Coturnix japonica: one gene and its partners. The protein of the gene in region 2 purifies or fractionates together with the protein of the main gene of each other region. This does not show direct contact. Links are inferred from orthologs where the notes say so. Each region holds a gene or a part of one and is shown on either strand. Other genes may lie near its edges. The genes, in order: CUL4B, COPS9 and CUL4A.

What was found.
Region 1: the proteins of COPS9 (region 2) and CUL4B purify together in Homo sapiens (affinity purification with mass spectrometry; 3 studies listed by BioGRID and IntAct, with this or other methods). This does not show direct contact. The link is inferred for Coturnix japonica from reciprocal best matches to the Homo sapiens genes COPS9 and CUL4B.
Region 3: the proteins of COPS9 (region 2) and CUL4A purify together in Homo sapiens (affinity purification with mass spectrometry; 3 studies listed by BioGRID and IntAct, with this or other methods). This does not show direct contact. The link is inferred for Coturnix japonica from reciprocal best matches to the Homo sapiens genes COPS9 and CUL4A.

What each region holds. Positions count from the first base shown.
Region 1 is NC_029519.1:15,287,474-15,298,465, forward strand, and holds the start of CUL4B (cullin-4B), read left to right. Parts: upstream 1-5,847; 5' UTR 5,848-5,913; coding exon 5,914-5,926; intron 5,927-6,646; coding exon 6,647-7,156; intron 7,157-9,851; coding exon 9,852-9,967; intron 9,968-10,992. Other genes in the region: MCTS1 (malignant T-cell-amplified sequence 1), read right to left, coding at 442-523, 1,445-1,512, 2,426-2,559, 3,489-3,586, 4,123-4,275, 4,500-4,510.
Region 2 is NC_029524.1:4,031,408-4,041,085, reverse strand, and holds COPS9 (COP9 signalosome complex subunit 9), read right to left. Parts: upstream 4,686-9,678; 5' UTR 4,616-4,685; coding exon 4,553-4,615; intron 4,478-4,552; coding exon 4,405-4,477; intron 4,167-4,404; coding exon 4,129-4,166; 3' UTR 3,854-4,128; downstream 1-3,853. Other genes in the region: ADIPOQ (adiponectin), read left to right, coding at 1-125; OTOS (otospiralin), read right to left, coding at 5,484-5,662, 7,257-7,283, 7,604-7,655.
Region 3 is NC_029516.1:123,890,481-123,900,973, forward strand, and holds part of CUL4A (cullin-4A), read right to left. Parts: intron 8,284-10,493; coding exon 8,180-8,283; intron 6,018-8,179; coding exon 5,948-6,017; intron 4,545-5,947; coding exon 4,471-4,544; intron 3,577-4,470; coding exon 3,414-3,576; intron 1,917-3,413; coding exon 1,827-1,916; intron 971-1,826; coding exon 888-970; intron 1-887. UniProt on the Homo sapiens protein: Core component of multiple cullin-RING-based E3 ubiquitin-protein ligase complexes which mediate the ubiquitination of target proteins. As a scaffold protein may contribute to catalysis through positioning of the substrate and the ubiquitin-conjugating enzyme.

The DNA of each region.
Region 1 (10,992 bases), on a different chromosome or scaffold from region 2:
TCAATAAGGAGATAGGCTGGTGAGATGTTAAATCAGAAGCAAAAAAAATCTGAAGTGTTATGGAGGTTTGAGAAACTGTACTAATGATATTTCACATATATTTTACATTACTGTTTTAGAGGAGCATAAAAATGTAAACATTCCTTGGCTTTTTCCTCCTTTTCATTTGAAACTCTACTCACAGTCTGTGCAGGATTTTTCCCACCAGATACCTTCAGTGACTGAAGATTTGGGCTTAAGACAAACCATTTCAAAACTGTAGTAAAAAGAATTCTAGAAAACTATCGTAGCCTATCGGTACTTTTGCATTCACTTGTTTTATTTAGCATTGCCACAGAACAAAATAATTTGTACATTCAGTCACATTAAAAACGAGGAATTACAAAGCAGTCCACATTTAACCTAAGTGCATTCCCTTGGAGTAACACAGTTCCTTTTGTTTCACTTGTATGTCTTCATATGCCAAAGACCATCATTTAAATAATGGATATTTTCAATACCAATCCCTTTGTTGACCTTCTCACTGTTGAAGAACAAAAGCACAGAAGTATTAGGTTAATATTGGAGCAGTATAAAACACCACATTGAATGTACAAACTGCGCTTGTAAATGACTCATCGTTCTAGGGCAGAAAAGTTTAAATCCCCTGGGAATCAAGAAGGAAAATACCTGTGTTAATTCCACTAACGCATCGAGTATCATAATACAATGTGATCTAAATACTATTGTTTCTTAATTTTCTGTTTTAGACAGTATCACAGAAAACAGCGCGCATAGAGCACTGCCATTTCCCTTTCCAGTTCATGTTACTTCCCGCAGGAATACAATATTCAAGTGAATTTGAAGTAAGGATTAGGAACGCACAGGCTTTCAATGACCACAGCAAATCTCTGAAGATGTGGGATGGGACAAAGGTAGTTACATATTCCTTCTCTCAACCTTTTCTTAATGGCCTCAAGTTGTGCCAGGGTAAGTTTAGGTTGGATGTTAGGAAACACTTCTTTACAGAAAGGGTAGTCAATACTGGAATAGGCTCCCCAGGAAGGTGATTGAATAACCATCCCTGGATGTGTTTAAGAGCCATTTGGATGTGGTGCCCAGGGACATGATTTAGCAGAGTTCAGCAGAATCTCTGATAAAGTATTATCAGAGCGTAAGAAATACTGACATTCAGAGACACCACCAAAGTTGTTTGTCTTCTATATCTATATTCACATAAAGTAACTATTTTGACTCCGTAAGGTGAATAAATAACTAGGAAAGATATTCCTTGCCTCCTTCTTCCCAGCTTAATGTTAATCAAAAAAGCTTAAATAAACGCTATACATAAAAGAAACACATTGCAACAGTGATTCAATAGCCTTGACAGTAGAGCTTAAATTACAAACTAAAGAAGAAATTATGATATGGGACAAGTTATATTTCATTTTTTTACAACACTTACATGTCATCAGCTGACATCTTCATGACTCCCACACATAACGCATGTTGTTTTCCTTCTGCCATTATTGCCTCAAAATTACGGCTAAGGAAAACAGGTTGGTTTTTTTAATGTTACTTCCAAAAAGTAAAAGCAGTAACAAGCAACTTAAGGAAATCACTTTATAAAAAAGCATCAAACTTCCTAGTAGAACTTTTGTCCTTCCAGTAATTGCAGAGCACTAACTCTTGAAAACAGGCAAAATGAACAGCTGAATCAGTGCACAGAATGCGAAGCACATATTTATGAACTTCAAATAGCAATTACAAAACAACCTCCCAACACAACTCTCCATATGTTCCTCCCCATCTAATACTGGTGCTGCAGCTACACATGGCACCATTTTACATCACACTGTACAGAAGAACTGAGACATATCTGAAGAAATCTAGAAGATAATGGAATGAGACATTCTTCTCAAAGCTCAGCAGCATGTAATACTACACATGCATCTTCTCCAATCGCATCTGAATAGCAACAACAGCTGTAGAGGTTGGCACTGATACTGAATTTGCTCACAGCCCCTTTCTCAGTAATGCATTCATTCCCTAAGAAATGAACTGTGCTCTTCTATAACTGAAAAAGATAATTGTTTTAAGGAAGCAGGGGAAAAAATTATGTTGTACCTCACCTCTTTCAGCAACCCTGCCTAACACCGGAGGAGCTTCTCTTACCCATTACATTAACAGAAGAGCTTCCCATCTAACCAAGCACAGCAGGAACAGTTAATTCTGGGGGGGCTTTGAAACATCACAACAGGAAAAAAGGATTAAGAACAATGTGAATCTTTCCAAATAACATTTAAAGCTTTGCAAATCTTTTCAGGTTACTACTTATTCCATGAAATAATATTCAACACCAAAGTAATTAAGTTCATAACCAGCTGAGAACATACACATACAAATTCAACTCAGCAAGAAGTAATTCATAATTAAAGAAGGATACAACAACAGTATCAACGGCAGCGGGGTAAAGTTTTGCTCCAGGAGACGTCAGGCCAGGACACATTATATTAGCTCCACTTAGTACAAATTTAATGGCTCCTTTATCAACCTGCTGATGTGGTAGAATAAATGGATCTAAGAGGGGAAAGATACAGCATTACAATTAATACATTAAGATAACAATATGAATAATTCATTACCATATCGGGGCAATTAGATGAATAATGTGCTGCATGGGCAAGAAGGTTGAGAAATTATTAGCAGCACTCATGCTGGGCAACATTGTCCTGAAAAAACACAGGTACTGTTTTTCCTGATTAAATCTTTGTTCTGAGAGCTAAAGGCTGGGGATCTCAGAACCAAACAGAGGGCCTATCCTTCCTGCATGTACACACAGCCCTTATAAAAGCAATAAAAAACTAAAACAAGCTTCAGCCAAATAAAACAATCACTGAAGTGCCTGCATCCTAAGGGATGTTAAATGCCTCAAAAGGAAAACAAACAAACAAAAAAACCCATAACCATACATACAACTACTTCCATTACAAATAAACACTTCAGAAGTAACGGGACAAAATAGGCAAAGACAGACAAAATTCATGAAGGTCAGTTCTCACAAGCATTCTCCGGGTTTGTGCAACATCAAGTATTTCAAACATGGTTTTTAAATACAAATCAACGTTTTATGAACAGCCAAAGTCATCCAAAGCAGTAACAGAATGGAGGAGAATAGCAAGAGTAGAGATAAAGTAATGCTAAAGATTATATTTTAAGAAGTAAAAGCTGGAAGCTAGAAGGAAGCACAAGAATTCTGCAACGTAATACCTAAAAATCAAAAGTCGGATTACTTAATATAGAAAATTACATTTATTTTGGAGATAACAAGCCACCTAGATACCTAAAGCAGCAATGTAAATACAGACGGAAATATATAATACATCTTTAAGACCTGTATAATGCACTATATAAATATCAATAGGTTTTTTTAACTCAGTTTTACAGAGGTCTTTTTATTGACACGCTCACCCCTCTGCTCCCAAAACCACCATCCTTAGAGAACTTACATTTGTGAAGTAACCTTAGCGTTGGGTAAAAAATCCCTTCTCTTTGTCTGAAGAACAGCAATTCTCCATTCACAGTGAGGATTTCTATATGTTCATGACTGCAAAATAAAATCAATGTAACCTTAACAACTAATTATCTCTTTCGTAAATTAAAGGCCCCACATTTTCTGATCTACATTGGCAACTGAGGATAATTAAGGCAGTCAATTATCAGGAACATATAAAACTAAAAATACCAGATGCTTTCTTGGCCTCATGCACTATTCCCTCTCCTGTTCTGTAGACAGACAGACAGACAGCTGATCACAAAAGCCAGCAAAAATATCATATCCTCTAATAAAATAAAACAGTTTGATCTTCTGAAGCCATAAAGCTGAATGCTTCCCTTCAACAACAAGCCAGTCCCAAGAGAGTCACCATACAGGTCCAGATGTTTACCAGCAGGCATTCCCATTTTCCTCCAGCACCCTACAAGCATGTTTTCAACAGCATGATAAGCACACACAGGCACTTCTACCTACAAGAATGAATACATCCTTTTAAAGCCCCTAGGCTGTTCTCCTACAGAAAGTCAGCATATACATGAAGCAACCCAAGCACGTTGGAAACAGAGGTTAAACAAAAAGAAACTCACCATCTTACTATTTTGACGGGGTCTTTCTTTGGCATGATTTGGTTTAGCCATGGTTCGATAACAGGAAATTGGTCTATCAGCTGGTTCTTAATACCTTTAATAACTGAAGTCTTCAGCTGGATACAGTTCGATACGTTCTCCTTTTCATCAAATCTGCCGAGCAAAAACATTTCAGAAACACTGAATTAGCTGCCCAAACGACGTAACGTTTACAGATATTAACAACATAATGTGCCCAACTTTGAGATACAAGCTTACAAGAGCCGTGACGCCGGCCCCGGCCCTATTGCTGAGGCGGACGGAGCGCCGGGCCCGGCCGAGCGCACTCACAGGGCCCATAGCGGCCTCCTACAATCAGCCCAACCAACCCCACTCACTTTTTGAACATCCTGGGACGGTGGGAGCCGGGACAGCGAGATCCTGTGCCGGGCGTGGACCGGCGGGCGCGGGGCGGGCTGCCGGGACTCCGCGCTCCCTCACACGAGGTCCCGGCCCTCCCCCTCCAGCGCCAGCCGGAAACGCCGCGCGCTTTACGGCATGTCGCGCCGCTGTATGACAACGGAACTGCTGAGGCTGGGAGGAGTGGTCATTGAGAGCAGATCGGCTGAGAACGACCTGGGGGTCCTGATAGATGAGAAACTTAACGTGAGCCAGCAGTGCGCACTGGCAGCACGGAAAGCAAATGGGATCCTGGGCTCCATCAGGAGAGGGGTGGTCAGCAGGGATAGGGAGGTGATCGTCGCTCTCTACTCGGCTCTTGTGAGGCCCCATCTGGAGTACTGTGTCCAGGTGTGTAGCCCTCAGTACAAGAAATACATGGAGATTTTGGAAAGGGTCCAGAGGAGGGCCACGAAGATGATCAGGGGGCTGGAGCACCTCCCCTATGAGGACAGGCTGAGGGAGTTGGGTTTGTTCAGCCTGGAGAAGAGAAGGTTGCGAGGTGACCTCATTGCAGCCTTTCAGTACCTGAAGGGAACTTACTCCCAGGAGGGGAGTAAACTCTTCGAAAGGGCTGATAATAGCAGGACTAGGGGAAATGGTTTTAAGTTAAAAGAGGGAAGATTTAGGTTGGATGTTAGGGGGAAATTCTTCACTAGGAGAGTGGTTCGGCCCTGGAACAGGCTGCCCAGGGAGGTTGTGGATGCCCCGTCCTTGGAGGTGTTCAAGACCAGGTTGGACGGGGCCCTGGGCAACCTGATCTAGTAAAGGTGTATGTTTGGTGGCCCTGCCAGGCAGGGGGGTTGGAACTACATGATCCTTGAGGTCCCTTCCAACCCGGGACATTCTGTGATTCTGTGAATGGAACGCGCTGTGTCTCTGTGCATGTGCATGGATGGCAAAGCAGGATGCGGCTGTCTCGCAGTACAGCCGAGGAAGGGCCGTGCTCATCCATAGGGCGGTGTGATGCTGTGATGGAACGTGCTGACACCGCGCTCTGCTCCCAAAGGCTTCAGAGTCACCGGCATGAAAGATCAGGCCACCATCCGAGCACCTTTTCTATATCAAATCAACCGCGATACATAGCATCCACACAACGTTCAGCCAAGCTTCCACGCGTGGCACAGTCTATTTAAGCGCTGTGATACAGCCGGTTCAGGACTCAAACACCGAACAAACCCCTCACGAACCACGCACGGCACTGCGCCCGCACCGCGCATGCGCACAACGCCGGCCTCAGCCACAACGGCGCCGCCATAGGCCACGCCCCCTATAGGCCACGCCCCTCATAGGCCCCGCCCTGCGCCGGCGCGCGAGGGTTCCGGCGGGCGGCCGTTATAGCGGCCGGCAACCATGATCACTTCCGGTAGGTCAGAGGGCAGGCAGCCGGCGGCCGTGTTGAGGCGTTGGCTGCGGGGCAGCGCGAGGGAGCGGCGGGACGAGCGGGCGGGAGGGAGGAAGGGCGGAACCCGGCGGGCAGGGCCGCGCCGCTGGGACCGCGGGGCCGAAGCGGGGCCCGTCGGGCGGCCGCGCCCCGGCATGCACAGCGAGCGGATGCGCCGCCATCTTTAGGCTCCCTTCCCCGCCTGGAGTGACAATAACAAGCACCGGGCCCGGCCGCCCCGGCAGCGCCCCGGCAGCGGAGAGGGGCGGGCGGGAGCCCTGCGGAGGAGCGGGCGGCGGGGGCCGCGCTGAGGGCGCTGAGGCCGGGGCGCTGTTGGCCCCGCTCGGCCGAGCAGAGGTGGCGGGGCGGCGGGGAACCGCTGGGGCCGGAGAACGGCGCTGAGAAGAGCCCGAGGGTGGACGGAGGTGGGGGAGGAAGCGCTGCTTTGAGGGCGGGAGACGGAGGAGAGCCGCGAAGAGAAACGGAGTCACAAAGAGAAGGAGATCCGGTGTTTCCTCCGAGGGATAAGAAGGAGAAGGAGGGGGAATACCGAGGGACTGTGTCGATAAGGAGAGAGGAGTTAAAAGACTCCGCTGAGAGACGCCACCGGAGGCTGACGGAAGAGCTCTGTCCTCTTTGTCGCGCTGCCAGGATTTGATGCCCGTCAGCCTGCTCATTTCTGTGTGTTCATGTTTCCCACAGGTTTCTCTTCCCCCAACCCCTCCACTGCAGCTCAGGAGGTCAGGCCCGCCACTGATGGTAGTAGCGGCAGCAGCTCCTCCTGCAAGAAGAGAAAGTTAAATAATAGCAACTCTGAAAGAGAGGAATTCGATTCCATTTCCTCCTGCTCGTCATCTCCTTCCAAAAACAACTCCTCCTCGTCTTCTTTAGTCATCACCGCCTCTTCGTGCTCCTCCTCGGGGGTCGCCTCCTCCAACCATCACCTCCAGAAGAAGCTGCGCTTTGAGGACTCCTTGGATTTTATCGGACTCGATGTGAAGATGGCTGAAGAGTCTTCTTCCTCCTCCTCTCCCGCTGCCTCTTCTCAACAGCAGCACCAACAGCAGCTCAAAAATAAAAGCCTTTTAATTTCTTCAGTGGCCGTAGGGCACCATGCCAACGGCCTGACCAAAGCTGCCTCCTCTACTGTGTCCAGTTTCGCCAACAGTAAACCTGGCTCCGCTAAGAAATTAGTGATCAAGAACTTTAAAGGTAACAGACCATAATTCCTCACAATCTCTGCGGAGCTGCCGCTCAACTCTGTGTTTTGTTTTCAACATGAAAACCTGGTTGGCTTTCAAATAGCTCCAGGTTTTACAGGAAATGCTTTTTTGTGGTAAACATTCTTAGACTTATGTAAAGGGGGGTTATGTTGATGATGCGTCCTTGCCCGATCACGTGCACATCTGAGCCAGACTTCCCTGCTTGGGCTTATTGTTCTGACTGCATTCACTCTGTTGAGGAGAAGGCCCTTTCTAGTATCTTGAAGGAAACATTTTACTGCCTAAGTGTGTAAATCACCTTTGATCAAACTTCTGAGGTTTGAAAGCACTTTTCCAGTAACCCAGACTCAGGGTATACAGTATATTTTAGCCTTGTTTATGGTAAGTCTTTGCAAAGTATCCTTAAAAAAAAAAAAGACTTGAATCTCCATGTCTTGCCCACGTGTATTTTGTCTGTTTGTAGGTTAATCCGCTTGTGCTTAGTTTTAAATGTTGAAACTAAGGTGATTATCCAGCTCTTAAGGCGGATTTCCTTTCTGCTTCTCCTACTTGACTTCAGAGTAGGTAGTTCAGACTTTTGCAGGTTATTTTTCTTGCAGTATCATCACTGCTGTGCTTATTGCTTAATTTTTTAGCATCTTTTCTACTTTAATATGCTCTTCCTTTTTTTTTTTTCTTTTCAAATTTACATTGTTTTGTAGTTTCTCAACCAACATGGTGGAGCTTTTCCAATGTTGTTACTTGAGATCAACTGAAGCAGGGAAATGAAGCTTTCTGATGTGAATTCAGCATGATATTCTAATGAACAAAATTGAACTAGGTGAAGGCAGCGATCCTAGCTAAAATTCTGTAGTTTTTATCCTAAAAAACGTCTGAGAATTGTGAGATTTTCTTGTTAGTCCATTCTTCCCTTTCAAAGTAATTCAAGAACTTACTTTCCTGAGTGGTTTTGTTTTTCTTCTTATGTTTGGGTGGGAGAAGAGAGGGCTTAAAGGTCTGACAGAGATTAAAACGTATTTCTAAAGAGGCGGTTGATACAAATGTGCTGTAGAGATAGCACAGAAGGTGAGGATTAAGGATTACCTGAGCCACTGTAATGTTCCAGTGTGACTTTTTGCTTTAAGGACTACTTAATTCTCAAGAATGTTCCCAGTCTGTTTCCCGTGCTGCCATGTCACCATCTGTTAATTTGGTTGCCTTAAAACCTTGTACTTAGGGTGCATGATGGCAAGAAATAAATGCTGCCACTGCATGTACTTTGTTATTTTTAAGAGAAGGCAACTTTTCACATTGAAAATATTAACTACATGCCAGGGATGACATGGAGCTGCAATCATCATTGCTTATAAATTGCTCTTGGAATCACTTCCTTAAAAAGAATGTCTTGAGAATCTGCATCTCTGGTTTTTATTTATGCTCATATGCCAAGATGACTAATAATCGTAGTGTGCTTTTGTCTGCGATAGCAATACACGTCCTTTACATCTTCCTAAGATTCAGTATGTTGCTATTTACTCCTGTATGTCGTATTCATTGCAGGCTAGTGGAAATGAGCAAGTCCCAGTTGTAGCGAGTTGTCTCTGTACGGTACAGTCAGTGTTGGGATATTGCCATTACTGTAGGGAAATGTTTGGGAGGGGGAAGTAAACAGAAGAAGGATTATTTTTTTTTATCCCCAAGAGAAATGATAAAGCTTTGAGGTGTTTGGTGGGGTTTGTTGTTGTTGCTGTTGGTTTTTACCTTTAAGTTTGCAAAGTCCATTAGAGTGCAGTCAACTTCACTTGTTGGTGACAAGGATATGCATCTGACTTCCCGATTTTTCTCCTTTTCCCATCTCCATTTGGGAAATTCTATGACCCAGCAGAAGGGGTCATTTGAGTGAGCTTGAGAACACATCATTTTAAAGCAGTCTTGGTTTTCTGAGGATGTGACATGGGTGATCTTTTTCATGCTGTGGTAATTGCTTTGGTCTTGTTGTGGGCACTGCGTAGCAGAGCCTCTGGAAAATCTGCAAACACTTGAGCTATACGAGCATTAGAAGAGGCCTTAACTCTACAAATATCCTCTGGCCAAACCCAAGAGAAACATAAATAGATTAGTTAGAAATCCAGAGATTTTTCCTCGTGACCATAAAGCCTGTATTAAACTAAGTATTTCTATGCACATTACTTGGGAGTTTCTTTCCAAATATTAACGCAGAGTTGAAATTATATATTTAATTAGAAATATGCTGTGCACGACTCCGTATCCCTTAATCCATCATTTTCAGCTTTTGTTGCTTTGATTGATTATTTTTTCCCCCTCTATTAGCTGTGCTGTTCTGGTACTAGAAGGGCTTGTAATGAAAATGCAGAACAGTCTTCTTGGGTTTTAGTGCTCCCCTCGCTGAGCTGCATAAACATGTTATTTAGAATGTTTTCTATTAGTATTTTTCAATACAATCACAGTCTCTTAGGGCTGCTGATGTTGTCATGTGTACATGAAGAGCAGTGCTGAATTTTTAGTGTGTTACTATTTCAAATGTAAGAAACTGCTTTTGCCTCATTGCTTTCTTTTCACATGTGAAGTATAACTCAGAACATCAACGTATACATTCTCCTCTCTGAGTTACTTTTGTAAAAGGTAAAATCTTTTGCTCTTACTAAACGCTTCCTCAAACTCTTTAAAATAATTTCTTTTTCAAGATAAACCCAAATTGCCTGAAAACTACACAGATGAAACCTGGCAAAAACTGAAAGAAGCTGTAGAAGCAATCCAGAACAGTACTTCCATTAAGTACAACTTAGAGGAGCTCTATCAGGTAAGTGCTTTAAGTACACTTAAGTACAAGTGTTGAGGTGAGGGATTTTCTCGGTGGTTTAGGGTTTTTTTTTTTGGTGTCTTTTCCTGTTGTTTGATCTTACAGCAATGGTAGGAACGTGACGTTCTGTTGACAAATAAGGCAAGTAGCTGTATTTGGGTTTTCTGGTGTGTGGCTGCTAAAGGAGAAATATGAAAGTCCTAAAATGGTGGTATTTAAGTAAGAAAAGGATTACTGACAGTTCTGATTGAGGCTCATAGGTAATTAATTTGAAAACCACCATTTTTTGTTTGCCTTTCTAAAAGTAAATATAATACTGTCTTGGTTCGGTTTGTCTGTAATTGCTTGTCATTCAGCATTATTTCTAACTGAGAACTAACATCTGTTTGTTTCCTGCAACAGCTCTGACTATTTTGCCCTAAACCTTTCAGGAAGTGATTGGTCTTAAGCTGCATCTCGTAACGTTTTATTTATAAACTTTTCTTTTTGAGTTAATGTGATAGGGAGTCGACTTTTCCTCCTTACTTACTCTGAACTTAAGGTTTTAGTGGCATTACTACTTAAGCTAGGTATAGGGAAGCACTCTCATTATTTTGAAAGGTTTTATTACAGTGTTGGTTGTTCTCTGTTTCTGTATCTGTTGTTCAGTTCATCTGTTTTTGAGTTTGTTCTTCCTCATTCCCTCCCTCCCCTTCTTGCTAAATATTGTTTTAGATTTGCCTGGTTTCTGTGAAAAGCTGGGGGCAGAAATGCAGTTTGCAGAAGGTTTGGGATCAGATCAAGGGGAAAAATAAGTTATTTTCCTTGTGAAACCTGGATCTTCCCAGGCCAAGTTCCTTGGTCTGGTGCATTTTTAAGGTTATGACAATTTTTTATAATGCTCAGTGGTGAAACTAATGGCAAAGTACAGACCACCAGATTAGTTCATATCTAAAATAACATGCTCTAGACTGAACAACAGAGCAAATAAGTGCACTGTATTCATAATGGCTTAAAGATGCAAGGTTGTTAATACAACTTTGTAT
Region 2 (9,678 bases):
GCTCGGGGGATGAGGTCTGGCTCCAGGTGTATGGGGAGGGCGACAACAACGGGGTCTATGCTGACAACATCAATGATTCCACTTTCATGGGCTTCCTCCTGTACCCAGACATGGATGACCATTAGAGCAGGGGGCTACATGGGAGGGGACAAGGCTGCTTAACCCCACCTGCCTTCTGGGGCACCAGCACTACAGCTGTATTCTATTTACCAGAAAATTCCCCTCACCACATGGGGGCCACCACTGACCAGGATGGGCCCCACCTCCCCTGAAATCACTGACCTGACACACAGGTGACTCCCGTAGGACCAAGAGTTCACTCCTACCTCTGCTCTTGCTCTCCTGATGGAAACCAGGGCCCCAAATCAAAAACCACTCCAGCCACATGATGAAACGGTCGCTCTCCAGATGGGCTGGCATTTGTTTTAAATTTAAAGTTGATTTTTATATATGTTACATTTAAATATCACATTCTACCTTACCCCTTTTTTGTCACTTGAATCCAGTTGACACAGTGGTACCTCTATCAGCCAGCATTACCTCCCTGAGTCCAACTGGAGCTGCTGGCTGGGCTTTGGCCATCGTCACTTCCCACCTTACCAGGGCCTCTGATCTCCACCCATGGTTTGTCCTCTCCCTTCTTTAGCCCAGACCTTCCTATGTATACAACACACAGCAGAGCTAAGGCATTACTACAAGCACAAGACAGTATTAAAGGCTTTGACTGAAAATACTTCCTACAGCAGCATTTCCTGAACCCCAGTGGATTATCACACTGCACAGAATATCACAATAAAGTGCTCTCTCAATAAAGAGCTCTCCTGCCTCTTTGTCTGCATTGCTGGGAAGGATTTAGAGAAAGGCAGCCCAGGAAGGAACACACACACAGTCTGAGCATGCGGAGCTCAAACAGGTGGGAAAGAACACCAGTATTGCTGCCAGCAGCTGTCACCCCCTGTGCTCCCCAGATATTATGCTCTCACAGAATGATGGCCCTTAGGGCAAACACTGCAGTCAGTTCCCATGAGATAACAGCCAATATGATGGATATACCGAGGCCAAAATGCTGTTTGTGACTTTGCAATTAGGGCAGATTATAAAGAAAGCACTCAGATCCCTTGATCTTGATGGCTATGTTTGACTCCTCCCTATACTACTGCTCAGTGAAAGGCAAGATGCTCTCATCCTGACCATGCAGCACTGAAAGCTTAAAGTCAGCACACTAACAGTAAAATAGCATGAATGCAGCTGGAGACATTGGCCAGCTTCATCCCCATCTGTGAAAGCATCCGTGCCCCTTTTAGGGACAATTATAGGCTGATTCTAATTGCACCTCAGCCCCATGTAATCATTTGTGACAGTAATTAATTGGGATACAAAGAGCAGCCGCACTAAGCCACGACAGGCTGAAAGAAAGATAAATGGCTTCCCAGGAAGCCCTGTTATCATATTTATTTGACAAGTATAAACTTGCTAGAGGCTTTTTGGCATGGAAGGCACGGGGATAAAGCCGACATGTAGCTAATCTGTCATTGCACTTCATGCAGGAAATGCCATCAGGTTCAGTTTTTCCTTTAGACAAACCCAATCCTGAGCACACCCATACTAGGAGTAAGACTGCTGTGTGTTTTTTGACTTGTTTGTGCTACATGTAGGTGCAAGATGAAAGCACTCTGCGCATCAAGTGTTGGGATGGCAAAGCAGCAAACCCCTCCCACCACTTGGTATCCTTAGACTCACCCCCAGACACTTGTTCTGCTTAACACCATTGCCCTTTGAGGAGAGCTGTGTGAGCTCCCTCCCGGCAGGTTCACTGTCAGCCCTGCACTACTTGCAGGGTGTTTATTCCCACTGAAATAGAAACATGAAACACAAAGCACCAACATCTGTTTCCCCTCGAGGGGCAAAGCAGACAATTTCAACTCACAGAAATCTGTGGAGTCTACCCATAAAGCTGTAGGAGAGCAAGGGGTAAAGCAGGAGAGCCCACCCCAGGCTCCCCACCACAACCCTGAAGGAATCAGGACAGGAAGGATGATGGGGGTTGAACAAATATACTTTTTCACACACCAGTTACCATCTGGTGGTATGATGGCAGGAACCTCTTCACAATATCTTCACAGAAGCTTCTTCAGCCGGGTCAAGGGAACCAACAGCAGTGCCAGCAGCTCCTCTGTGTACCGCAGATTTCTTGAACATACCTAAGGATGTGCCTGCTAGAAACTCCAATACAATCCCTTGTTGAGAAGTATTCTCACACCCAGTGTGCACGTGATTCTCAGCTGCATGTTTATCCATAGCAATATACAGACTCATGTCTTTCCCCTCAAGAGGGGTTATGTGAGTTCAAGCAATAAGACTACAAAGGGTTTATATGTACATGCCACAAGTGCACATAAGACAGCATGAATACAGCTCAACTTACAGCTGACTACAAGCAAACTGAATTTTGGCCCCAAAAGGGACCCAAAGAAATTACAGTTACTGATGAGAATTCCTACACTTTAAGACTCCCTTAGAAAAACAAAGTTATAGGCACAGACTCTCCTTCCAGTCTCATTGAACAAGAGATAACTTCATACTCCAGATGACTAACAATATATGTACCCTGGTAATCAGCCCATTAATCTTAAAGACTTTTATTATTATTAACATTTAACAAGGCAAACGGGGGAGGAAGAAAAAGCAGAACAGTATTCCAAGGCAACTATCTGGAAGAATATGGGCATCAGCAGATGTATGCAGTCAAACCAGCACCAAAGGGAACAGCTGGATCTTCAAGCCTTTTCTGTTTTGGCACTCACTCAGAACGCAGTGTCTGTTTACTGGAAACGACTCACTTCCCAAAGCCTTGCTTAGAAAAAGTGCAGCACCAGAGACAGGAAGAATCCAAACAATGTTGCTAACACTAAGCAGTCAGTGTTTATATTGCTTTCAATGAGGAAAGCTTGAAATCCCTCCCTCATCAAGCAAAGCAAGAGGTAAAAAATAAACAGGAGGCTGCATCAACAGCCCTGAGGGTCACTTTGCAGTGTCAAACACTAAGCAGAGTAAACACCAATACGCTGCTTTAAATTGCTCTGGAGGACAAAATAGAAGAGGCTGAGAAATCCACAAGAACAAAACAAGAAGACATAGTTCTACTTACTCATTGTGCTCCCACGGTTGTTTCAGGGCCAGCAAATGAACAGCTAAGATTAAAAATATTTATCTCCTCTTTCTTAAGATAAAAAATACCAAGGGAAAAACATATGAAAGAGGTAAGGAAAAGAAAGGGTTTCATTTGGGGTTTTTCCATACAGTTTAGCACAAATATTTCATCTGGAGCATTGATAATTGTAAGTTTCTTTAAAGAAAGATCAGTCACAGGATTATTTTGTGATGAATGTATAGAATTTAGGCCTCACTTTAATCCTAAACAATTAATTTAAGAATAGAATAAAGGATTGAACTCTTGACTCTGAAATAACACATTAAAAACTCCCTGGTCCTTTCATCCTGAGAATCACTTTGATCACTAGAAGGTGCAATATCATACAATTACCTCTCTAAAAATCAAAACCTGAGTAAAAAACAATACTAAAATAGCTCTTTAGGTTAAAGCAAAGCACTGATGGCAGCTGGACATCAAACCTGATACTGAACAAAACCCACAGGTCTTCCTAGTGCAATGAGTCAATGCCTATTCAGGAAATAGTAATCACCCTATGAGCAGATAATCCCATGCTCTATGATGAACAGAACACCTCAAGGCAGAGATATGTCCTGCCCTGTATCAGTATATAATAACCAAAAGTAACAGTGGATGATTTCATACAAACAACAATAAAAAAGAAACAACACAGCACACAGATTTCATTGGGGTTGTAGGTTTTTTGCTGTTGGTTTTGAATAGCACATCAAGTACAATTTTAAGACAGATCTACAAACACCTTCCTAACAATAACAGCCCACAGTTCAATGTTACTTTTCACCATCTGAATTCCACATTCCCCAAGCAGCTTAAACAGCCTTTTTTTTCACACCCCCTATGAGATTTTCCTGTTCTAATCATTGCAATAAATAAAGGACAGCACGGGCGATCCCAGAGAGAAAACTCCACATCTCAGCACAGCGGGACAACTCAGTTCACTGGATGTCATCGTCATCAAACAGATCTTCAAAATCTAGTCAGGAAAAAACAAGACAGGGTGAAAATCAACACTGGAAATCACAGCTGCAAACACCACACGAGCTTTCATTGCTCTTGGTATTGAGATTAACGACAGAAGCCAGGTCTCACAGCATGTATTGCACAGCAATGCAATGTAACTTGTAATGAATACTAACAATAATCAACCAAAAGACGCTACAATAATCAACCAAACGACGCTGTTCATCCCACCCGCCCTGAGGAGCCCTCACCATTGAAGAAGTCGGCGTGCACGGCCTTCTCGTTGGCAGCCAGATCCATCAGCAGCCCCGTGCTTCCCCCTGCCTGGAACAGCAGACGCTGAGCGCCTCGGGGCAGCACCCAGAGCCGCTTCTACCCACCCGGCCCCTCCGCTCCCACCTCATCCAGGTCCACGTACGGACCGGCGCCCTCAGGGAACATCTCATCCACTGCTGGCTTCATGGCGGCCGCAGCGCTCTATGGCCTACTTCCGGCCGCGCCATCTTGCGGAAGTAGCCTCGCCGCTCTATGCGCCTCCTCTCTATGGTCGCCCTGGAGGAGGTCCGTGCTGAGCTCTGCTCTATGTAACGCTGTTAATACATGATTATCGTTAAGCTTGCCCTGCAGTTTGTGTAGGTAACAGAACGGGCTGTCTCTCTGAGCCAAGTTCTGCTGAGTCTTTTTGTATCGAGGAAATAGGGGGTCCTGCTGGGAATCACAGAATGACCCGGGTTGGAAGGGACCTCAAGGATCATGTAGTTCCAACCCCCTGCCTGGCAGGGCCACCAAACATACACATTTACTAGATCAGGTTGCCCAGGGCCCCGTCCAACCTGGTCTTGAACACCTCCAAGGACGGGGCATCCACAACCTCCCTGGGCAGCCTGTTCCAGGGCCTGACCACTCTCCTAGTAGAATCACTGAATATCTGACTTAACCTCTGGGAAACTTCTGTGTACGTAGCACATGTAATATACACTGCAGATGCTTTGTGTAAGCAGTGCACATAGGAGGATAACCCCATGGGTGTTAGTTACCTGATCAGCCCATTTAGGGTAACGCTATGACTGCATGTACAGCAGAGCTTGCTGTCCTGAGACATGCCCAGCAGCACGATAATACAACAGGAACCCAAACCTCACCATATGATCAAGGAGTTTATTGATTTGGCACAAAGCACGGCTTGCAAAAAGCAGAGGCTAATTCACCTGCGGGTTTCTAATGCATATAACACTACACAGGCCCATTCACATGGCTGCAAGCAACTGGAAGGGCTGCTCACCAGCAGCCATGTGTTGGTGTGATGTCCCAGCATGGTGGTGGGCACTGCTCAGTCCTCCTGTGCAGGCAGGTGGAGGCCGAGATGGCTGCCCGCGGGCAGCTGTGCAAACAAGGCCCTGGCCAGCTCAGCAATCCTGTTGTAGGCTCCCAGTGTCCTGAAGTACTCCACGTAGGACCAGAAGTCACTGGAGGAGAAGGGCCAGTATGGCATGGCCACAGGTTCTCGATCTAAAATAAAACAAGAAAGGGAATTATTACAACATGAAGTTTTTCTGTTGAAAGCTTGGCTCGATGTCATTTGGGGTTCCCCTCTGCCAAACATGGGCACAGCCACTGAACCCTCCGTGCCCTTCGCAGGGGCACCAGATGGGACAAGACTGAAGGGACACCAACAGCATTGCAGGAATTGCTGAGGTGGCTTTAATTTCCAGAAGGCAGCGGGCTGTTTGAAAGCAAGGAGGAATGGCAACTTGAAGCCATTTTCCCCATTGCTCTTTCTCTCCATCTTCTGTGCCAAATATAAAAGTCAAAGATGAGAAGAACCAAAATAAACTCTGAAAATGCCAAGAGCTGACCTGCCTCGGGCCCAAATCCAGGCCTGCACAGGATCCTGTCAAACATAAACACTTGCTGCAACCACACAGTTACAAGCATCTTTCTGTGCATCAAAGTTAAACCCAGTATTTTGATTTTAAGCCCATTTAAATAAAAGGGAGTTGTTCCTTTCATCAGACTCAGCTTCAGACCAGGGTGTTTAGTGGGAATGAAGAGCCTTAATCAATCTTAGCGTCAGACCTTCATGTTGTGAATTTTGCACTGCACAGGCACAGATGGTATATAAGAAACCAAACAAGCCAACCAAATGCTGTCTGCAGAAGAGAACTGTTAGTATCAGCTGAACTTAGATTCACTTTGCAGTCTGTTGCATGGCCAGTGTGAAAGAAAACCCTAATTGCTTACAAAGAGAAGAGGACATTGCTGAAGAACATCTTGTTTTCAGACAGCCATGCTCTCACCTAAGAGGTTGCCAAAGAAATACTCGCTGTGCACAAATAAAACAGTGTGTTCAACCCAAAAACTTGTGGAAGCAGAGATTATGCATTCAAAAAGGTTAGAGAGCCATAAGGAAAGATACGGAGCATGAGAAGAATGAGGATGCTGCTGGTTAGATGTGCACCAACAACAGCAGTGACCTTGTTGTGCGATTTACTTCTATGCAACTTTGTTTTCAGAAAGAATTTGTCTGAACACACCAAACCAAGGTTAACCTACATATTCTTATCTGTAGGCCACTGCAAATATCATTAGGATTGTGAGGAGGCTTTTTGCTAATCAAAGACAAACACTAATCCAATAGGCTAATCACCCGAAGGGACACAGCAGCAGAGCAGCTGTGCCAAGGGATTTATTCCACTATTTCTTTCACCAGATTTGTGGCAATCTGAAAATGTTTTACTTTTTGCCATGGAGGACAGTATTTCTTACCAATACCTGGACAGACATCCCTCACTGCTTACCAGAACAGCCACAATTCTCTGAAGTCTCTCCTATGCTTATAAGTCTGGTGCTCTCCAGTTATGTTTTCATAAAACAGATAAGTAATGACTTGGCCATAACCCCTTGGAGGACTTGTCTTCAAGGGGTCATCATACTTGTTAATGTTTGTATAGAAGCTCCATTATTGGAATTAACAGATCTGCTTTCCGCATTAAAGAAATAGAGAAAAAAAATAAATAAAAAAAATCACTCTTCTTTCAGGGAGTTACAAGTGACTCTTTGAATCATTAATGATACATAAGAAAGAAAAAAATACTTGCATTACCATCTCCTTCCAGGATTGATCGGGCATCTGAAAATGAACAGGAAAATCATCAGCACCAACTCTCTCACAGAAGAACTTTCAATTCCCAAAAGGTTTGGTGCACAGACCAATGCTGACAACTCCTTTAAGGTATGTTTAGAGCCCCCCTTATAGCCTAAAGTTTCTGTTTCTCCAACAGCTGAGTAAGGAATTGCCCATTTATAGTCAGAATACTACAAATCAAACATGCCAGGAAGGAGTTGCAATTAATACACAGACAGTATCGGAGACTAAATAAAAGATGCTATTTTAGTGTGAAAAGATTTTTGTATTGAAAAATCAACCTGAATAAATCTAAGCAGTCTTACCTGTTCTTATGTTCATCAGCATACAGAAGAAAAGGAAGCCGATGCTTTTCATCTTCTCTGTAAGCAACTGTTTGTGTTTCTGACAAACAATCTGTACAGCTGGAGATCATTAAAAGAGATGAGGAACGATGCAAAATACAGCATTTCATCTTTTATTAGAAAAAGCTGTTCCCAAATAAGGTCATTACTTTAGTCATAACGAGATCCAATTCTATTGCATTACATTTGCTGAACTGCATCACAGAGTATTAACAAAGAAAACCTACCAAAGTTTTAACTGGTATTTACTTTTAGGTGGCATAAACCCAAGAGGCTACTCTAAACTGACACAAAATGAAGTGTTTGCAGAAATCTTTTATACTTTGGTTGTTTTAAGTTCCCTCTAGAAATTACCTCTCTTCCCCTCCCCTTTTCTCCTTCTTTCAATAGCAAAGGTCTGTAGCTCTGAGTCAGCCCAAAAATCCAAAAGGATTTTGCGTGCTGTAAAATAGCAGCACGGTGTAAGGAAGGGTGGGGGGAAAGGAGAGAAACGTCACCGAGTTCATACACCAATCTGATCCCGTCCTCTTCACGTAGAGTCATTTTAATTGCTCACACTGTGCACACACACACGCACAAAGATCTCCGAATCAACTTCAGCAATGAGACTTTGATATGTTGAAAACAGATGAAGAAAATCCAGGACCAAGCTGAGATTTATTACTGCTTTTCCTGACCATCTTAACATTTTTTCCCCTCTCTTCAGAAAAGTAACTGTTTAGAAGCGTTATCTGTGCAAATTGTGAAGAGGTTACTGGATTCCTTCCTCACAAAAACACAAAACGCCGCAGCCTTACAACCCAGAACTTAAAATGCACAGCTGTACCAAGTGCCCACTGCAGCCAATTAGTCTGCATGAAACAAAAAAGCAGACCCCTGCTGACTCCCCCCCAACATTAGCTGGAAGCTTTCAGCTGCCTTTAGTCTGAGTCTACAAAAATCACTTCTCCGTCATGATTCTAGAGACCACTTATTGTTGCATTTCCCCACTGAATCTGTTGCATTTCCTCACTGCATCTGTGGCACCTGACTGTTGGTGCTTTTGCTATACCACAGCCACTTGTCTGCCGTACAAAGATCATGCAAGGAAAGCCTGCCTGCTCACTCAAAGGCCCAGAATGGAAAGACCCAAGTGAATGGCCTTGCAGGAGGACCCAGCTTTGCTGGAGTTTCTTCCTATCTACATGCAGAGTTGGATAGTCCTGCCAAGAATTAATTAGAGATGTTCCAAGCAAGGGAAAATAAAGAGTTCTTTGTAGCACACTAAGCTGCGCCAACTCATGTGGAGGCTGAAAAGAAAAATATTATGAAAGCAAAACCTATTCTGTCTTCAAAAAGCTTTAATCCTCCTCTTTAATGTTCCTTATGCCTGCAGGATGGGTACCTGCATCACCCATGTACAGCCAGCAGCTCTGCCCCACTCACCTGGGTTATAGAAGCTGCTGGTGTGAGAAAGTATGAGAAAGTATGTCCCTTGCTTGGTGAAGCCCATTGATGCAGCCATGTGTTCAGGTCCATGGACCAAACCTGCACAACTTATTTGATTATGATATGCAGACTGGGCTTTGCAGGCTATGAGAAGTACATGATAACATGCCCTGGGTGATGATAAAGGAAAATAAGTAGCCCCATCCTGCAGCTCTTCCCTGCAGGAACTGATGAGGTGCTGTGGGAGGATGACAAAGTTGCTGAGGTTATCAGGGTCACTCAAGTCACAGCAGGGTCTATTACAACATGGGATGATCTTCAGTGGACTCACCTAACAGCACTGAGGCTCACACTGGCATACACTGAGATGGGGCAGTGCTGCACCTCCACCTTCTTTATTGTCTAATCCTTTCTTAATCACAGCACTGGACTAGAGGAGAGCGGATGAACTGGAGTGAGCACTGCTCCAGGTGTTCATTGCTTAGCTCCAATGACTGTGCACTCTCCTGGGGCCAAACTAAGAGCCCATAATGTGCACTGATTTGCAGCATATACCATAAGCATGCCATAATTCCCTTTGTTCATACTTTACCCAGTTGGCATCCAAA
Region 3 (10,493 bases), on a different chromosome or scaffold from region 2:
ACATAAAATATCATCCTTTACCCCAGAACAACTTCTTACAACAGAAAAAGTAAGGACAACTGGTCTACCTAAAGCAGAACAGTACTAAGAAGCAGACAGACAGACATAGTATCGTATTTACATACAGAAATAATTCCATGTTTTCACCTGACTAATTTTGCATGAAGAAGGTAGGCACTTTGCAAGAAAACTCAAGCTCAAATATGCACCATGATATATAAGGCATGAGCTTAACTTATTGTTTTCTTCAAATATATATGACAAAAAGAGAGAAATTATTCAATGATCTCTTTAACACCCAATGAAATGACAACACTTCACCTAGGGGAAATAAAAAGGTGTGAGGGCAAAGAGCTCTAAATGAGTTCCATCTAGTTACGTTCTTTATTCAAAAGCAACCACTGCATTATTTATAAATTATATATACATTTATAGCCCATCAGTGACTGTGCATTCTTACCCCAGTAAAATGCATGCTCTTACTCAGTACCTCAGTGCCAAAAAGAACAAGCTGCCTTGCACAACCCATTGGCAGCAGCTGTACCAAAGGTGATCCACTGTAAACTAAAATGGAATGTTTGTATCCATGTTCTCTACACCACGTCATAATTTAACATTTCTTCCCCCTAGTGAACGTTTGAGTTATATTTTGTTAACTTCAACTCATGGTGGAAGATTTCTAGATAGATTTCTCCCCTTTTACTTAGGGAAGAAATACTTGGATTTAAAATAAATTGGCTCTGATATTAATAAAGTCTTTAAAGAAACAATAAAAACACCAAATAGTATGTACAGAGATGATCTCTGTGTCTCTACAGCCATGGATAGTCACACCGTTTTATGAAGGATGCTTGACTTGTGCTAAGAACAATGAAATTTGTACTCACTGTGTGCTGTGATCTAAGTATGTTATCACTCTGTCTCCTTCTTCTTCCAAACGTTTACTAACGTGGTGAAGATATTCTGGGACCTTGCAAGAGAAGAGAAGGACAAATTCAACAGTTGTGTACAGTAGCATGAATGATCACCTTGTTCATGACAAGTATTTTAAAACTCTAACTTAATGAGAGCATGGATTGGAAATAAATATTACACAACAATGTAATATGCTACACAAGCTATGTTTTTAATGATTGATATTACCTCATAATAAAAGCATTGTAATTGCACCTACCAATTCTCAACTAGTGAAGAGTCAGTGTACATACTGAATTAATAAAGGTAGCATGCTCTATTTTAGACAACCAGGAAATATTGTCCGTGTACATTTTCATGAAGAAACACATTTTCAGGCTGCCCACCACAAAGCATAATTTCATCTCAAAAGCACAGAAAACAAAGATGTCTCAAGGTCTACTTAACTAGTAAGTAACTGGAACAAAACAGCAAAATAAATGCAACAAAAGTTCTTAAAACAAGTAAACAGTTAATTTAGCTATTAAATACAGAGTAGACCAGTGGCAGTGGATATTTCACAGCTTTTCAGAAAAATACCATATTCATGGCACGCTTTTAAGCTTTACATGGAGATGAGCATTCTGGCAGCATGACTTTAGCAACAAAAAATGTCACTTGACTTCCCTACCCTTCATTTGTGTTTCTATATGCAATATACAAATACTAGATATCTATACATATACCCAACATCATGGCAAACTGGAATTGGTTCTTCTCTTTGATACAATACCACAGTCCCCAAAGCATAATCATCATTTACCCTTGTAAATTTCTTTTAGTATTCACTCTGTGGTGCTACCAGAAGTTCCCACATAATCCCATAGCAGATGGAACTAAAATAAAACCAGTTAACTACAGCATGCACCTACCTCTCTTTCTTGCATTAATCTTTGGCCCTCTGCAGCATATAAGCAATTTGTCTCTTCCAGAAACCTCTGTTCAAATGATTCTTTGTAAACCTGTTCAAGAAATCAATTTAATTACTTACATTAAGCTGCCATTAAAAGTAGCGTACCCTGGTTTACTTGGAGGCAAGTAAAATCTCAGGAAGGCAAAATAAATGTTTAAAATTATATAAATGCAGAAATCTGATTTTTTCCCCACTGGTTTTAGAAAGACTACAATTAAAGTTGACTTCCCAGCGTGTCTAAACTGACAGGTTTCTGTTTAATTCACACAAACACCAGCACTCAACACAACAGCACAGCAATGACATCTAATCCACGTGAGCTCAAAACCCCCACTGATATTTCTGGGCCAGTTCCAACTGGGAAAACAAAACAGGTAATTCCCAACAGTAAAATGATGATACTCTCAGTAACGTGCCTTAGGAACAAAGCTGATAAGGAAGTACTTTCAAATATTTGGCTTTTTCCTCAGCGCATCAAACAAAATCTCTGGCTTGACAGGTATTCAGAGTGTAATAGTATTCAATGTCATAAGCAGACACTAACTGATTGCTTTAGCCATCTCTTTAAACTGAATCAAACCCAAGACTTTATATCTTACCTTCCTTTCCTTCACTAACTTTCTGACCTATGCTAACGTAATAAGGAGTTATTTCTACACAGACCACGTATAAAGCTTTACAACAGGGAACTGCAATAGAACAAGATTGATGCAAGCAGGAATAAGCTTTCAGCAGTTGGTCTCCAATTTTGTAATTGCCTAAAAATCAGGAATGAGAAAGAGCTTAATTATTTTTGAATGAAATATAAGATTTGCGTTCTTAATTCATCTTTCACCACAAGCTAACCTCCAATGAAAGAGGAGAGAGAAGCAGAGATCCTGGAGGCAGGATCAAAAGCACACTCATGCCTGATAATATAAAAGAATACACTTTGTTAGGTTCTAGAGTGAAGAAAGAAAACACTTCTGAGAGAGTGAAGAAGACTGCAGATTGAAATGCAGACCTGTAAGAAGGATCTAATAGAGGAGATGCCTTTAGTTAGCAGTGTATTTTGCTAAACAAAAATGAAACAAAACAGTAGCACTCACTGGTAATACCTACAAAAAACTGATGCAGTTAAGAGAAGACTGCCAAGTAACAGGAAAAAAAAGTGGGAAAGAGCACACAAATCAGATCTACGTCTTCAGATCTGCTAATGATTTTTCATATCATAAGAAGTCCTTCTTCTCTCTTGAACAGAATTATCAGTTCTAAATCTTTTGTGTTATGGACGAAAGTCAGAAAAGTTAACATGGAAAGCAGAAACAAGCAAATAACACAGACATGTCGCAACTAAGAAGAAAACAAGCACAGAAATCTCACTTAAAAAACAGAATGAACGACTGTGGATTGGGCAAAGAAAAGGGAACCGCCTTCTCAATCTGTTTGCCAGATTTTGAAGCACATATTTACTAGAATAAAATTATTTCTGTATAACACACACGCCAGAATAGTCCAAAGTCAGTTTCTAAAACTAGTGGTAATGGCTGAGGTTTGCTGTACTCACCTGCAGATCAGACAGCATACTCAACAAACTACGCAGCAAACTTCGGTCCACTGCTTCACCACTTCGTTCTCTTTCAATCAGCAGGAGGATTCCATCAATAGTCTTGTTTTGAACTTGTTTATCACTAATGACATGATTCCTAAATAATTCCAGCCCCATGTCCCTGTGTGAATAATGAAAATTAAGACATCACTTTGTTGGTTCTTTTCAAATTTGCATGTTAAAGAAAATATGTGTGTATACGTATTATATATAAATATAGAATCATAGAATCACCAAGGTTGGAAAAGACCTAAAAGATCATCCGGTCCAACTGTTCACCTATTATGCTCACCTATACGTTACACAGAGAGAATTTATTAATCATGTATATATTCTATAAGAAGAACTATCACAAAAAGCTGCCATCTTCCTCCCCATCCTGAGGGGAGAGCACAGAAGTAATATACGCAGGGAAGAGGCACGCTGCTACTTCAGTATTTTATCTACATCTTTTCTTGCTTTAGACAGAATACAGACACCAGAAAATTGTGGCAAAGTATGGATTTGTTTGTCTTGGTGATTATACAAAATGTCTCTCAGGAAGGACGCTGAGAAACAGACGTGGCTGTGGGGTGCTCAAACTGCAGGAGCAAGCAGGGGTTAACCTCAGAGCTCTGAGCCCGGGTCTCAACTCACAAAAGGCCAGGGCAGGAAACATGATCTGCACCTTGTGAGTGCACCTAACATTTAAAACAACAGAGCCAATAGCCAAGCTCTGAACTTTGCCAAACCAGGAACACCTGAAGAACCACTAGACTGAAAGAGAAGGCCCAGGGGCAGCAGCCTCACCCAAACTTGGCAGCTGATCCACAGTGACCTTCCTATTTTACCCTCATATTACCTCCTGGGGAAGGTGGATATTACAGAATTAATTTTCCATAAATTAACACAAAAATTTAATCAACCTACTACACAGCTCAAATATATTGTGAGGAAAAAAAAAAATTATATTTTCAACCTTTATAAATACAGCACAAATTGTACAGACTAAAGGAGCACACATGCAGATACCTACCATATAGAAGGAAGCATTGAGTTCTGAAGTACGTATGTACGATCCAAAAATAAGAAAATGCTTCTGATCATGATCTGAAAACACATCAAGGAAACATTTTTTCTCTTTGACAGCATGTAACACTTTAAATTATAAGGCAGATTCTGGAAAATTACATTGCAGACACATGATTTTTCATTGCTGCTACACCTATTTTTGACTCTTCTGGTGACCTGCATCTCTACTGGTATGTCATTTGTTAACATTAATGCTATGACTAATCACTGTAACTGAATAGATTCAAGACAATTTTCAAATTCATAAGCAATTAATGGAATAGTTTTATTGGCCTTAGTGCTGTTTAAGTCTTAGTGCTACTGAGATACATATTTACTCAAGCATAGTTATCAACTGTCAGTAAACTGCTGTCACATATTTCACTTAAAAATGTTTCATTCAAAAGGCTGCTCAGCTTTTAATTTAGCATTACAGTACCTCAGGATGTCCATACATAACTCACTGCCAGGCCAGCTACTGAATTGCCTATCCTCAGATGCCTACTCAATCCTCCTCTAAAGGATTTCAGTGCTTCTAAAGCAATTCTCAAGCTCACACAATTTCTAGCCAACCACGTTAAAGTAAAATAGCAACAAGATCGGTTTTGTTTTGTTTTCTTGAACACCACAGGTACTACCTCAGCACCTGGACAAGAAAGCCACTTCCTACAGGGTTGTTGATCTGATGAATAAACATGAATAAGTAAAACCAACAAAAGGAACTCTCAAAAGTAATTAAAGAGAACAGAGTTCACAGAAAGAAAACACCATATATTTATAAAAACACAGGTCCAGTTTAATCAAACTTTCAAGGTAATAACCTTCAACCTTAATTTCATCAGACTGCAGAATTTGTTCAGAATATTTTCCACAACACTATCCGTTTCATTCGAGATAAAATGCACATACACATCCCTGCCCATCCCTCATGGGGGAGGGAAAAGGAAGTAATTTGGGTGCCCCACAATTTTGGGCACCTGTAGCCAGAGCTTGGTGACAATGCAAGGAAAACTTAGAATTATAATGAAGTAGTATCTTAAAAGGCCAATTCTTATGAGTCGTTTTCTTCCTGTTTCTCAGCCCAGTAAGTCAGGATATTCAGCTCTGTTTTGAAAAAAAATACAAAATAAAAGCCACAAATTAACCTAGTTGGAGTGATCTATAAGCAAAGACTGAAGAATTGGTTGCTGAATGATTTCACTAGAGTCAATATGTTTCTGAGTGATATTCTAGCTGGTTACCACTAGGAAATCAATGAAGAGCAAACCAATAACACAGCAGAATGTAACTTTTGACAACAGAACGGCTCCCAGCCAGTAAAGGGGAAAGCGAAAAGTCCTACTGAAACTTGGAGGAAGCGCATCACAGACCCAAGTTAAAAGCTCCCTTTTGCCAGGCTGTACTTCTCAAGGATACACATTCTGAACAAACACTCAACTTACCATTTGTCTGCAATGATCTTGCCAGCATTTATTTATCTTCTTTAAAAATAAAAGACTATCCAGAGAATCTGTACAGCACCTATTAAGGAAAACTAGCTCGCCAGTAACTTTTGAGGTCAGATTCCAGAGATGATCTTTGCCAGCCATTGAGCAAATCTCCTTCGTGGATATTCCGATGTTGCTGGGACTGCCTAGAGATGAACGGTTAATTGCAAAGCTTCTGTCCAGCACAGGAACTGGCAGCTCTCCAATAAACCTCCCTATGTTTTCAAGGAACAACACACACAGCCCTTCACTAATACCATCTACCGACCACACTGCATAGCTCTGATATAGATGTAAGTAAGAAATCCCATCAGTGTCAAAACCAACCTTATCACCCATGGAGGTGAGCTGGATAGAAAGGTTTACTTTGTTTAATGAGTTCACACTGCGCACCACAGGAGTGACCCTAATCTCTTGAAAGCATTTGCAGTTCCAAATAATCCTCAATAAATCCAAATAGTGCTCTTTCCATATACATCTCTAGGTCTCCTCAATTAAAACATGAAGTTTTACTCGCTATATAATGGATCCAATCATTACTTGTTACTAGAATTCTACTGTATCACGAGTAAACCCAAAAGTGGCTTTGCCTTCATTTCTTACACAATGCCATCTCCAACTCCCTTTGGTCAAATCTGATTAATCTAATCTCATGTCCTTGGGATATAAAGCAGTATACCTGTAGAATGCAGAGTTCTCAGCTCTCCAAATATTGGTTCTATTGGGCTTGTGGAAGGAACACAAAGTCTTACAGCTTAAGTTTTTCTTAAGCCTCAAAAGTCAGGGATGCAAAACTGGCCAACTGTCTACTGCTTTAAAGCTGACCAAAAGATTTGGTTCTCCGTTACATTTAAAAGACTACTGTATTAACTAATGGACTTTTTAGTTGAATGTCATTTAAAAATGAATCGAATCGAATCTAATAGAAAAAATACGCCACCTAATTAAGAGGTGAATTCACAGTGCCAATTCAATATCAGTGTTTCATGTATGACATGTAGAAGCAAGGCCCTTTTAATGGAACTCAAAAAAACTCAAACAAAAACCACCGTGCTGGAGCTAAGCCATATAAAAGGAAAAAAAGAAGAAGAAAAAAAAAAGGAACAGAGAAAGCAATTTATCTTCTTTATGAGTGTAGGCACCTACCTGGAGAATGCGGTGAAGTGAGAAACTGAGAGTCACAATCCTAAGCACATTAAAGGCATTCACTTACAAAGAGGGCTCTTTCTGGGCCCCGCTCCCTTGTTTCTTCCTATTTCAACCAATCATTTTCTGTAACAGAATATCCACCAGAGACCTGGGAAGCAGGGCAAGCACTCAAATCACTACAGCATCTGTTCACTCCAGCACTCGCCAGCATCTGTTTGCCAAGACACTCTCTGGGAACGACCTGCTGGGCATGGGCTCTACTTACCCTACTTCCCCAGCAAGCGCAAACCAGTAGACTATTTACATACAAGACACATAAAGCATGCTCTCGGCATGCAAAGCACAACAGGCTTCAGAAAACAGTGCTGGCTGCACTTAAGCTTCCAGAGGAGATCTGCAAGCACTTTTGTCATCAGTTCAGAGGGAAAAAAGAGAAGCATAGAAATAGAACTTGAGAAAACAATGGGGATATTTGCTGTGAAATGCAAGTGTTCTGAAGGTCACAAGGCAGCCAAGTGATCTTCTGAACTTTGATCTGTCTCCCAAGGTACACGTGAGGTATCCAAAGGGCTCGGTGAATGCCTCCGTTAAACATCACTGCTGACCAGTACTTAAAACTGGCCATACAGAGAGGCTTAAGAACTATCTTACAGAAGACTCCCAGCACTGCTGTTAAAAATTAGTTTTTCTTCAGCTATTGGTACTGGAGAAGCATCTCCACCACACATTTGCCACAGGAATCCATACCTGCTGTTAGATCTGTGAGGATTTTAGATGCATAGTGCTACTATGAATTCGCACTCATAACAAAACAAATACTTGTTTTAATGGTTCATTACTACCATGCTTCTAAATACTAAAATTATTCCCTTGGATGACTCAAGTTGCTCATGGTCCATCTGAAAATACATCAGTGGTAAACAAAGAATCTCTTTGTACATTTGCATACACCACCGTTATGACTATCATTTAAAAACTTACTTAAAAATCATGATTTAAGCCCAAATCTAACAATTTCTTCGCACAGGAAAAGGATATTCCCTGAACTGAAGGATTTGTGCTTTCACGTGATCTTCACAGACCTGTCGCAGCTGTTTATACAGAGTAGCAGAGACTTTGTAGGAACAGAGGTTTTCAACAGCCTAAAACCAAAAACAGTTAACAGACAAGGTTAAAAACAATTAAGTGAGCTCTCATTTTTGTCCCTGTATAATCAACATTTTTTTCCCTCTCACAAAAAACTCAGTGGGAATGCCAAAGAGAAAACGTAGCCTCATTTGATACCACTGCCTATATTTAGATTTTGTTCCAGGCGCGCTTTATTTTAACTTGTGCCCCGTATTTCAATAAACTATTTTATTAATAGACCACAGCACCTAAAATGAATCACAATGAAGACAGCCAAACATTCGGTGAGGACTGTGAAGTTTACAGCAGTACTTCTGGCCATTCAGTGCTTCATAGAAAATTATCCAAAGCAGTTAGATGTGATGAGAAAGTCAGCTATTCTCTTCCTTTAACCTCACCTTGGTTTCCTTTCTCTTGTGAGATGATCCTGCACCATGAGCACTGGAACAGGCTGCCCAGGGAGGTGGTGGAGTCTCCTTCTCTGGAGATATTCAAGACCCACCTGGACGCCTACCTGTGTGACGTGGTGTAGGGAGCCTGCTTTGGCAAGGGGGTTGGACACCATGATCTCTAGAGGTCCCTTCCAACCCCTGCAATTCTGTGATTCTGTGATACTTAGAGCACTGCTTCATCTGGGCAACTACAAGTGACACAAGAATGTTTTCCTTTGCTCCAAAGGACAGACAGTGACATATTTTGCTGATGAATTTGCTGACAGCATCAGTGAACTTGGGTAAAGTGTTGGTGTTTTCTCAGTCTTTACTTGTTTTTCCACAAAGTTTAGCTTTATAGGTGCATTTTGTTTGAGATGTGACAAGTTATGTTCACAGAATCACAGAATGACCCAGGTTGGAAGGGACCTCAAGGATCATGTAGTTCCAACCCCCCTGCCTGGCAGGGCCACCAAACATACACATTTACTAGATCAGGTTGCCCAGGGCCCCGTCCAACCTGGCCTTGAACACCTCCAAGGATGGGGCATCCACAACCTCCCTGGGCAGAACGTTGCCTAATGCCAGCATGTAACTCTTTGCCTCAGTACCAACACACATCTCCACTCTGTTCTACTTTAAGATAACAAAAAGAACTGTGTTAGCGTAGGAGTAGATCAAGAGAAAGGTGAAGGGAAAAGTAGCAATTTGGGCAGTGGCAAAGGCTTGAAGCGTGCTTCAAACCACAGCCTTATCACCACAGCGCTGCCCTCAGCAAGCTCTTTCTGCTTTCCTTTTATTGACTAAGGCAGAAGGGAAAACCAGTAATTTCCTTCTTCTGCATGTTTTGCTTTGTTCAGATTTTTTGCTGCCTCTGAAAGAAACCCTGATTTGATCTTTATTTATCTTGCACACAATGAGACTGGGGAAAAAGCTGTAATAATAATTATCTCTTCTATTATGACATGAGAAAGACAGCACTGTAGGCTCTTCACCTACACAAGCCATGTATAAGTTTCAAATAACCACTTTAATGGCTTGTTTTGAGCCGAGTCCTCTGTTTAGTAAGCTAGTTATTGCTGCTTGTACTGTTTCCTCTATCAGTTCTAATATCCTGAAGAGCTTATCTTCCAAAACACACAAGATGGAAACAAGCAGGCATTACATGATTACTTTGTTGTTTATGCTGGTTTTTAACTTCAGTCTTAGAACAGGTTACGTGAGGTGACCTCTGAAACAAACAGTGATCACACAACTGTTGGTCAGATATTTGGTTATGCTTTCTAAGACACAGCCTTTCCTACCCACCCACACAAAAGTCTGGTCCAGATTCAAAGCATTTACTTTCTTCCCCCTTTACTGCAACAATGTTCTATTCCGTGCCCTCAAGAAGGGCAGCTGCTGCCCTATTTCAAGCTATTTAGGATCTTGTTGCAAAGGGAATTCTCTTTTCCCATTATTTTTATCACTCGCTCCTCACTCGGCAGTTCTTTGCACTGCCCCACTTTCTGTAGCCCATCAAATATCAGCCACTTCCACCCAGATCCAGGCAATCTACCACCAATCCCAGACATCACTTCTATTTTAGTAGCAAAAATTGGCTGCCACCCTCCTATTGCTCACTGCCTCTGCCAAGCACCTTTGTGCTTTAACCCATGCGGCCACTGCCGCTTGGGAAAGACTATGCTTTGGGCTTCCCACCAGGCCTTGTTTTTAACTCTGCCACCGTGCCAAATTAAATACATCAATCAAGAAGTTCCAAGGCAGGCTGGGGTACCACTGCCTGCTGCACT